Linked DNA regions of Daphnia pulex. The protein of the gene in region 2 interacts with the protein of the main gene of each other region in a pairwise test. Links are inferred from orthologs where the notes say so. Each region holds a gene or a part of one and is shown on either strand. Other genes may lie near its edges.

What was found.
Region 1: the proteins of transcription initiation factor IIA subunit 1-like (region 2) and histone H4 transcription factor-like interact in a two-hybrid assay, tested with the Drosophila melanogaster proteins (2 studies listed by BioGRID). The link is inferred for Daphnia pulex from reciprocal best matches to the Drosophila melanogaster genes TfIIA-L and Hinfp.

What each region holds. Positions count from the first base shown.
Region 1 is NC_060027.1:4,352,202-4,356,458, reverse strand, and holds histone H4 transcription factor-like, read right to left. Parts: upstream 3,026-4,257; 5' UTR 2,776-3,025; coding exon 2,124-2,775; intron 2,058-2,123; coding exon 1,762-2,057; intron 1,698-1,761; coding exon 1,504-1,697; intron 1,444-1,503; coding exon 1,368-1,443; 3' UTR 1,207-1,367; downstream 1-1,206. Other genes in the region: uncharacterized protein LOC124207603, read left to right, coding at 546-741, 828-976; PAX3- and PAX7-binding protein 1-like, read left to right, coding at 3,327-3,855, 4,012-4,257.
Region 2 is NC_060018.1:12,589,833-12,594,902, reverse strand, and holds transcription initiation factor IIA subunit 1-like, read right to left. Parts: upstream 3,214-5,070; 5' UTR 3,091-3,213; coding exon 3,067-3,090; intron 2,923-3,066; coding exon 2,733-2,922; intron 2,690-2,732; coding exon 2,591-2,689; intron 2,520-2,590; coding exon 2,319-2,519; intron 2,247-2,318; coding exon 2,125-2,246; intron 2,046-2,124; coding exon 1,776-2,045; intron 1,706-1,775; coding exon 1,598-1,705; 3' UTR 1,216-1,597; downstream 1-1,215. Other genes in the region: serine/threonine-protein phosphatase 2A regulatory subunit B'' subunit gamma-like, read left to right, coding at 3,379-3,513, 3,569-3,673, 3,737-3,846, 3,907-4,075, 4,145-4,333, 4,396-4,532, 4,597-4,810, 4,875-5,002 and 1 more. UniProt on the Drosophila melanogaster protein: TFIIA is a component of the transcription machinery of RNA polymerase II and plays an important role in transcriptional activation. TFIIA in a complex with TBP mediates transcriptional activity.

The sequences.
Region 1 (4,257 bases), on a different chromosome or scaffold from region 2:
GAAAAGTTATCACAACATTAGTGAAAGCGTGTTTTGGGAATGTAACTCACGTTATACATTCTGGTATCTTATTTTAATTGGGTCTTGTGCGATTTCTGAACAGGATCTAGTTCACTTTGCCAAAAGAATTGTCTTTTGTTTTCGACGTGACATAATTAAAATCAGATCAGTGAAAGCTGCTGTGACGATTTTAGATTCTCTGTTGGAAACAACGACACACTGTCTGTATACCGCGAGTTCATTGGAGAAAGGGGTTTTGTTTATCGCTTAACAGCCACACGCTTTCACCTGTTCTCAGCTCTAAATCTAAAAATAAAATTAGCGGCCACAAGAAAAGTGCCAATCTAACCAATCACGAAAAGTGTATCGTTATTTTTCACTCGTGCTTATTCTTTTATGTTTTTCTGTTATTTTTATAGAAAGCGGTACTCAAGCCACCACCACCAGCCGTTGAAGACTTTTTCCTATTTGGTGCGGTCGCTCCATTCCAGAAAAGAACATTTCACCTGCGAAATTTTACCAACTTTCTAGTTGAACAGAAAAAAATGGCTCGTTTACAACTGGTATGGCAACTAGCGTTGGTCTGCGTTATTCTCTTCTTGGCTGGACAAGCACAGGCACAGTTACCCGCCAGCAATGCAGCCGTCGAAGCGGCCATCCGTAACCCGCGCTACATGCGCCGTCAGATTAATTGCCTTCTTAATGAGTCACCCTGTGACAACATTGGACGCACTATGAGGCGTAAGTACAATCACAACTAATTTAATTCATTATGCATGTAAACGAAAGTGGCGCAAATTTCTAAATTGTTTCATTTCTCTATGCAGAACTGGTACCAGCACTCATCAAGGGCCAGTGTCCTGGATGCTCTCCGCAACAACACCAACAGGCCATGAAAGTTATGAATGTGGTCTCTCAACAGTATCCACAAGAGTACTCGAGGATCTACTACACCTACAACCAGCAGCAGGGATAAATTAAATTAAATATTTTAATAATACAGTAAACTATCTATATAAACCCGATCCTGTTCATCCTTCCTCCCAATTTCCGAAAAAAAATACGAAACAAAAAGTGCATTAAAAAAACTCCGAAACCTTTAAAAATTCTCCCTTTATCAGTTATTAATAATCAAAATGCGTGACGGACTATTTGATTATTTTGGTGGCATGCGTGAGTTCGAAATTTCCATAATTCGATCGAAAATGTGTGTAACTTTGTATTTCATTATTTCATTTATATGAGAAAGTAAAATCGAACAAATACATGTAATTAAACGTCTAGATTATTACGCAAAGTGAGAGTCAACTAACAACCCGTTTGGAACAGCCTTTGCGAAAATAAGGGAACAAATATAGAAAGACATTTTAGGAACTATTTCGAGGTTGAAGGGGTCCGCCGCCGTTCTCCGCTCGGAAACGACCATCCGGTCCTTGTTTGTACCTAAAAAACCAATGACTCGATTACGTAAAAGAAAACTAATATAATTTATGCACTCTTTACTTGAAACGACAGTTGCCAGCGAGGGGAAAGATTTGGTGAGCGTTTCCCAAATGATTTTTGAGTGAGTTAGATGCCTGAAAACGAACTTGACAGACGTGACACTCGTACAATGGATCCACATTTCCTTCGTGTATTTTGCGCACATGTTTCTGAAGTGTCGCCGAATTACGAGCAGTGAACTCGCACCCACTCACCTGCAAGATAAACATGGTATTAAATTTCACGTTGATTTCATCAAACAAACAAAATGCTACTTACTTCGCAACAGTACCACAGCGTATTTGCGTGAACTTCAAGATGTTTGCTCAAATCTGTTTGCGATTTCGCACTGTAATTGCAATCGTCTTCGGGACAGGAAAATGGTCGAGAATCACTGTGACAATATGATATATGCGTTGCTAAAGAGTGGGTGTTGGGGAAGCTCCGACCTTTTCCCTCTTCATCAATTGGGCAGTGAGAGCATGTGTAGACTAGACGGTGATATCGAACGTGCTCTCGCAACAAACGTTCGGTAGGTAATAGTTTGTTGCATTCGGAACAGCGGAATTCATTGGCTGTAAAAAGATTCAGTTAGTATGATCATTTAGTGTAAGTTTACAGATTTGAAATAAAATACCAACCATCTAAAGGAAGTTGCCTCAAACAATGGTCATGAAGTTTGGTACGAGAGGCAAACAGGCTGCCACAGGTTGGACAGGCTAAGGATCTTTCTTGTGAATGACTTTTTAGGTGATCCCTGAGCTTGAATTTGTTTGAAAAGTTGCTCTTACAATTTGTCCACAAGCATTTCTTCTCTTTTCTCTCGCCATCATCATTAGTTATGGAGTGTGTGTGGACATGCCAATAGAACTGTTGAACATTGAGGAATTCTAGTTTGCAGTCATCCCAGCAGCAGATGAGGGATCCTGATAACTCTGGCACCGAATTCCTGGTTTGAGGATCTAGTTGACATCCTTGTAGTGCCAGTTTTTCAATAAGATTAGCACCCAAACATTTAATCTTCGTATGATAAGCATGATAGTATATGTGCCGAAGAATTTCCTTATCATCAGAAGTTTCAAATCCACAGTCTTCCCAAATACAAGTAATAGTTGATTCTTCACCTGTGGTGACAACAACCACTTGCCCGGCATGATCAGCTACATGAGACAAAAAAAGTTCCATATTTTGGTATAACTGCCTACAACCTCCCCAGTCACAAATAAGGATAAGTTGCTCATCTTGAAGAAGAGAAGGATCATGCCTTGGACGTTTAGCTTTCCTATGCGCCATTTTAACAAGCAAGGGAAACAGTTATCAGACTTTCCCGCGCAGATAGAATCGCACTTTTCTAATCATTCATCTATTAAAAGAACGTACTTGAAAGTTTTCTATGTTTGGGTGCGCACAGCACAAAGCAAGAATAAAATGAAAAAAAAACTGATAGCGATGTATGAAAAAAACTACATAATACTTCAATGTAAAGTACAAGAGAGAAAGAGAGATCAACTTGACTTGAGCAAAACAAAAGTACAAGCACCATGTAAACAAGTTGAAGTTGTCATTCTCAATAATAGTTTTAGAAATTCGCGTAAAAAAGCCTGTAATAATTTATTATTAAGTTAAATTAAATTTTATAAATAAAAACTGAATTAATCACAAAATAACACAATAAATTTTAAATCTTGAAACATTTTTAGTTCCAATTTTCTGTTATAACTATTTGGCAACGCCATGTCGCCAAATCTAAATGTCGGCTGTCGAAATCGTTTCCACGAAAAATTTTCAATCGCTTGTTGAAAAGTGAATGTACTCTTGGATTTAAAAACCGTGAATATTTTAAAATGTCACTATTTAAGAAACCAAAGAAAAATTTGCGTCAAAGAACAGCAACAAGTGATGAAGAAGATGGAGATAACCATGCACAATCAATTAATAAGGTCGATGGTGTCCCATCTTCGGCATCCGGCAACAACAAACCATCGGGGAAACCGCCAAAAGCAGCTTCGTTGGAAATAAAAAAGAAGACGAGTATTCTTAGCTTTCAGGAAGACTTGGAAGAAGATGAGGGGGTCGAGACATTCCAGATCAAGAAATCTTCCCAGAGTAGAAGAATTGCTAAACGAATGGAGAGGGACCGGAAGTTGAAGGAACAGGAGCAGAAAACCATTGTGAAGCCACCAGTGGAAATTGTTCAAGAAGAAAAACAGACACAGCCTGAAAATCATCTACCCAAACCTGAACAACCAAAGAACCTCATCCTGAGTGGACGTGAAGCAGAGATGGCTGGATATCGATCAGATTCAGAAGAAGAGAGTGCTGATGAGGGCGTCAAATTTAGACGACCTGACCCGTTCAGGAATGTCCTGGAAAGTAGGGCAAGAAAACTTTTTAAAAATATTTTGGGCTGAATTTTCCTCTGATCTAATGAATCTCTCTTTTTCATCAATGATTTTTTTTTTGTTTGGTTCATTTTTATCGTTTTAACCATGGAGAGGTTATAATTTTTGAAATTGGAATTTTCTGCAGATGGTGCCATCCCAGATGCAGCGATGATTCATGCGGCTAGAAAGCATCGTCAACAAGCTAGAGAGCTTGGTGGTCTGGCTGATTACATTAAAGTGGATGAAATGCCGGACTACGAAAAAGATTCCCAGCAGACCTCATCAGTCACATCCGCGAGACTCGTGCGGGAAGACGAAAACGATAAGAGCGATGAAGACGAGGCTGAAGATGGAAGAATGGGTTTTGCTGTTGATCTGTTGACCAAAGACA
Region 2 (5,070 bases):
CATGGTGGAATCATTTAATTATAAGATTAATTGGACTTTTCACTTTTAAAGTTTCACATTTAAGAGATGCGAACTTTCGACCAAAGTTGCCACTGTAACTTGACTGATTGTATGTTTTTAAAACCATTTTTTCGTGCGATATAATTGACTCAACTTTTCGTGTCAAATCGGAACTATATGACCTGATTTAGATTTCATGGAATCAAAGGCAATTAATTGTCTAATTATACACGCACGGACGATCACCATAGCGACGTGAAATGGTTTTTTGTAAAACTGGTGAGTAGGTCTACTTGTTCTAATTAATGACTTAGGTTCTTCCATCATCACATTAAATAATAGTCATTATTTTAACCAAATTATTTCCATGATTTTTATAGTTTACAGGGTCCTTCCAATTGCTGGGGTATACGTGAACAAAGTTACATTTCGGCATGTGTTTTAAGCATGTGCGTGACTGGTTGGCCGTCTTTTGTCGTCACCACTTGAAAAACATGGAACCATCCATCCGGCTAGCTACAGGCAGCAGCAGCAGCCCCCCAACGACTGGGAGCGCTCATTAGGAACGGATGTTGTGACACGCGATTAAAAGCCATCCTGAATATACTGTAAACATTTCACTAGTTCATGTCATATCATTCACATGAAACATGTCCTCCCCTGTGACATCAACCATTTCAAAAAGAAATTTTTGAATTTATTTTCATGATAAGCAGATGGAAGAACGCCCCAGTCCGTCCTTGTTGAAACTTTTCCCCTCGTTTTTTTTTTAGTTTTGATAATGAGTCCAGCAGGTCGAATCCTAAGGTCCTGGCAACAGCAAAGTTCGTTTAGTTTTGTGCTGGTTGCCTTTTAACGGCTCTAGGAAACTTTTTGGCGGACGCCAACAACTCCTACCGCGCTGCTATCGTGTAGAAACTCCATTAACGTGTACCGAATCCAATAGTTGGATGAGCAATTCCCCGGTGATGACTGCAAACGGATGTAAGCTTTTGACCACTTGGTTATTTGCTTTCAAGTCCCCGTACGCTCGCCTGAATGACTTCCCATGTATACAACCTAATCTAGATTTCTTCCGACTAACATTGAAAATGTCCACCACCAACTGTATACGATTACAAGAATTTTTCGGTACCGTAATTAGTAACATTGTCCCCTGGGTCTTGGACTAGTTTTGGGTCACGTTATTAGAATCTTCTCGAAAACTAATTGCAATTCTTGGTAATTTGAACATATATTTTTCTTCTTCTTCTAAATATTCCTGAATCAAAAGGGGGCGACAACAGCTTCTGCAGCGAACAGGGAAAAGATGAGACAAAAAAAGAATTCGGAAAGTTTTGTGTGTTAACAAAAAAAGAGAAACGAAACAAAAGAAGCGAGGGAGGACAAACACGAATGGCTTTTGTTTCTTTGTCCCCAGGTATTTTTTCCTCTCCACCGCTCATCCAACACCCGACATGAAAAAAGAAATTCCGCACATGCACACGCACAGGCACACGAAAAATCCTTAAATTGAAAGCGAAATTCCTCCGGATTGTATTAAATGAAACATTATCTTGATTTTCCCCTAGTAGCGCAATTTCAACCTTGAATATTTTCACCACTCTGCATCACCGTTGGCCTTTTGAAAGACGTAATCGCGACCGTTAATGTTCATGATGCCGTCCTTGAGATGAAACTTCCACCTGTTTCGACTTCTCGTAATCTACAAATAGAAAAAAAAGTCATTTAAAACATTTCAATTCCAATTCGAATGCTAAAATTCAAATCCTTGCCTTGTCGTACTGGCACACGACGACGTTATCAGTTTCAAATAACACTGAGGGATCATCATCAGTCACATCGTCTTCAGAGTTGAGTGGCTCCTCGTCTGCGTTCTCTTCGTTGTCTGCGTCAATCTCCTCGTCGTCATGATCGTCCTCTTCTTCCACGTCGTCATCGTCATCATCTTCAACATCGTCGTCGTCGTCCGAAGAGTCTCCGGGTCCATCCAACTGTGTGACTCCTCCATTGTCAGTTCGCGATTGGCTCCGTGCAGCTGTCGACTACAAAGAAAAGTAATAATGCATTGTACACACATTATTATATACACTTTCGAGTGGATTCAATTTCAACCAATGGTACCTGCAACGCGTTATTAATGTGCTGCTGCAAGACAGTCGTGGCCATTTCAACTGGAAGAGAGAGAGCCGCCGTCACAGCCGGTGAACTCAGGATCGTTTGCAGCTGCGCTCCCGCTGCGCCACCTGTGACATTATTACAAATAGTAAAGAAATTAGATTGGAGCTAGTACGAACGAGATTCAATTGGGAAATAACCTTGAAGAGCATGAGCTGGAACGTGAACAGTGATGCTCTTGGCTGCTGTATGACCTGCTACTCCAGCCTGAGGAGGAACAGTGATTTGGACTGGCACCGTCCTTACTGTTGTCGTAGCAGGGGCTGCAGCTGCTGCTGTTGTTGCTGCACCTGTAGCTGCATTAGGGGTAGTCACTGGGGTTTGGGCTGCTGCTGCTGCTTTAGAGAAAATAAAAACAAACAAACAAAACAATTAATAATAATGCACTCAATGTAACAGTATACCCAACTACCTGGTTGCTTTGCCGTAGTGGCTGCCTGTTGAGGTGTAGAATTGTTCGCAGGAGCTGTAGAGCTAGCCTGCTGACCTGCTTTTGACGGCAAAGAAGACCCTTTTTTCATACATGATAAAGTCTCATAATCGATATTGGATACTTTGTTGCAGTTTGCTTTGGAGAGAAGTTTCAGCAGGATCGGTCACAGGGTCGATTGCTTTGCTGGACTGCAATTTGTTTTCCCAATTCTGCTTCAATTCGAGAAGTACAGCCTCATCGATTCCTTCGTCAAGAAACGCCTCTCGAACCCCGTTGATAACATCTTCAATAACGCCACGATACAGTTTCGACTACAAAAAAAGAAATATAAAAGTCCTTAATTAGACCAACGAGGAGTGAGATCGAGCTCGTGGAGTGGAATCGTCAATGCAACAACAGTTTCCAGGTACTATTCCCCATGAAATATTATCATAAAGTAAAAGGTAAATAAATACCACGAGTGCCTGATTGGCGGCCATTCTTTAACGAAATTGAATTTTATTTGATTTCAATTCCGGGAGGGCTTCGTTCAACAGGAAGCCGACATGAAAACTAAGACTGACGCGGCAATATATATCGAAATGCCCCCGATGGCAGCGCCACGAAGCGTGATTTTGGCTAAGCATAGCATCTAGCGGTCGAAAAAAACATTCTTTCTGCTAAAAGTAAAGCCGTTTGTTATCGTTTCGACACGTTTGAATCGAATGAACAAGAAACGTTTTTATTAGCGGCCTAAGTCTCAGTATTCGTTGATTTTCATCAACGAGATGGATGAAAAATCCGAGATTTTGGTTTTAAACGCCGAAGATGAAGATACCTTCCAAAAGTTGTATTCCGAAGGTCTCAAATATAGCAAGCAATGCTCGGAAGAAAGCATGCCAGTTCCAAAGTTCTATACCAAAGTAAGCATAACTTCCAATTGATTCCCTATAAATTTCTTATGTTTTTGTTACACAGCTTCCTAATCATGAAAACATGATTAGCCTTAAACTGAGAGAAGAAGCTAGAACAGCATTCCTTCAGAAGAAGAGCAAAGAACTCCTCGATAACAATGAACTGCAGGTTTGTTAATGTCATTGCCAGTGTTTGTGCTACTGGTAAATAAGATTTTCATCCTGTCTTTAGAATCTCTGGACTTTACTTGACAAAAATCACAGCCCTCCTGCTGGTTCTGAGCAGATGATCAATTATATTGATTTTCTCAAAGTAGGCAACATAGCTGGTCCAAAATATAAGTAAGACATGTAAATATTTGATTGGGAACACCAAGTTATTTTTTGAATTCCCCTATACAGAGCATTCTTTACACCAGATGTATTTGCAAGGCTATTGCAGAATGATATTCATGGCAGAATATCAACCATGGCAGTGTTCAATTACATCATGAGGAAAGTTTGGTTACAGCAAACTAGAATTGGTCTTTCATTATATGATGCCACAGGACAAGGTCTGCTTACTGAAATGGTGAACATCAGCAATATGTTTTTTGTTTTTGCAATATGTAATTTACTTATCTATTTTTGTTTTTCCCAGGATTTAGAGAACTACATAACTGAACTTATCCCAACATTGCCACAGTTAGAAGGGCTTGAAAAGTCATTCCATTCGTTTTACGTCTGTACCGCCGTACGCAAGTTCCTCTTTTTCCTAGATCCATTAAAGCTAGGCAAAGTCAGGATACAGGATATTCTCGCTTCTGGTTTTCTGGACGAACTTTTAGAGGTATTTAGTATATTCCTGATTCTTTTGTCATTCTTCTCGCTAAAAATATTATAATTCATCAGCTACGGGATGAAGAGCTGCCCAAAGATGCACAGGATTCAAACTGGTTTTCTGCGCCCTCCGCTCTGAGAGTCTACGGTCAATACTTAAATTTAGATACCAACAGAAACGGCATGCTTTGTCAGGAAGAGCTCAGACGGTAATTTACCATATTTCAATTTGCAGTACGTACATTTAAGATTTTTTTTAAATTTAATTTTCAGATTCGGAACTGGCACGTTGACGCGAGTTTTCATTCAACGAGTATTCGAGGAGTGCATGACCTATGAGAAAGAAATGGATTATAAAACGTACTTGGATTTCGTATTGGCCATGGACAATAAAAAGGAACCACAAGCACTTCAGTATTTTTTCCGTTTGTTGGACGTCAATCATCGAAACCATCTCAACACTTTTGACCTCCATTTTTACTTCAAAGTATTAATTTCCTCATTTGACCTTTTGACTTTCTTATCTTGAAAAAAAAAAAAATGCTTTGCAGGGGGTTCAAGAGTTGATGCAGCAGCACAAACAAGAAGTCGTTGCTTTTGACGACGTCAATGATGAGATTTTCGATATGGTGCGTCCTGCCGATCCGTCAAAAATCACTTTACATGATTTGATTAACTGGTAACACACAAAGTTCATTTAGAATTTTTTTAGAATAAGATTGTCATTGAACGTTTTCTGGCTCAGTG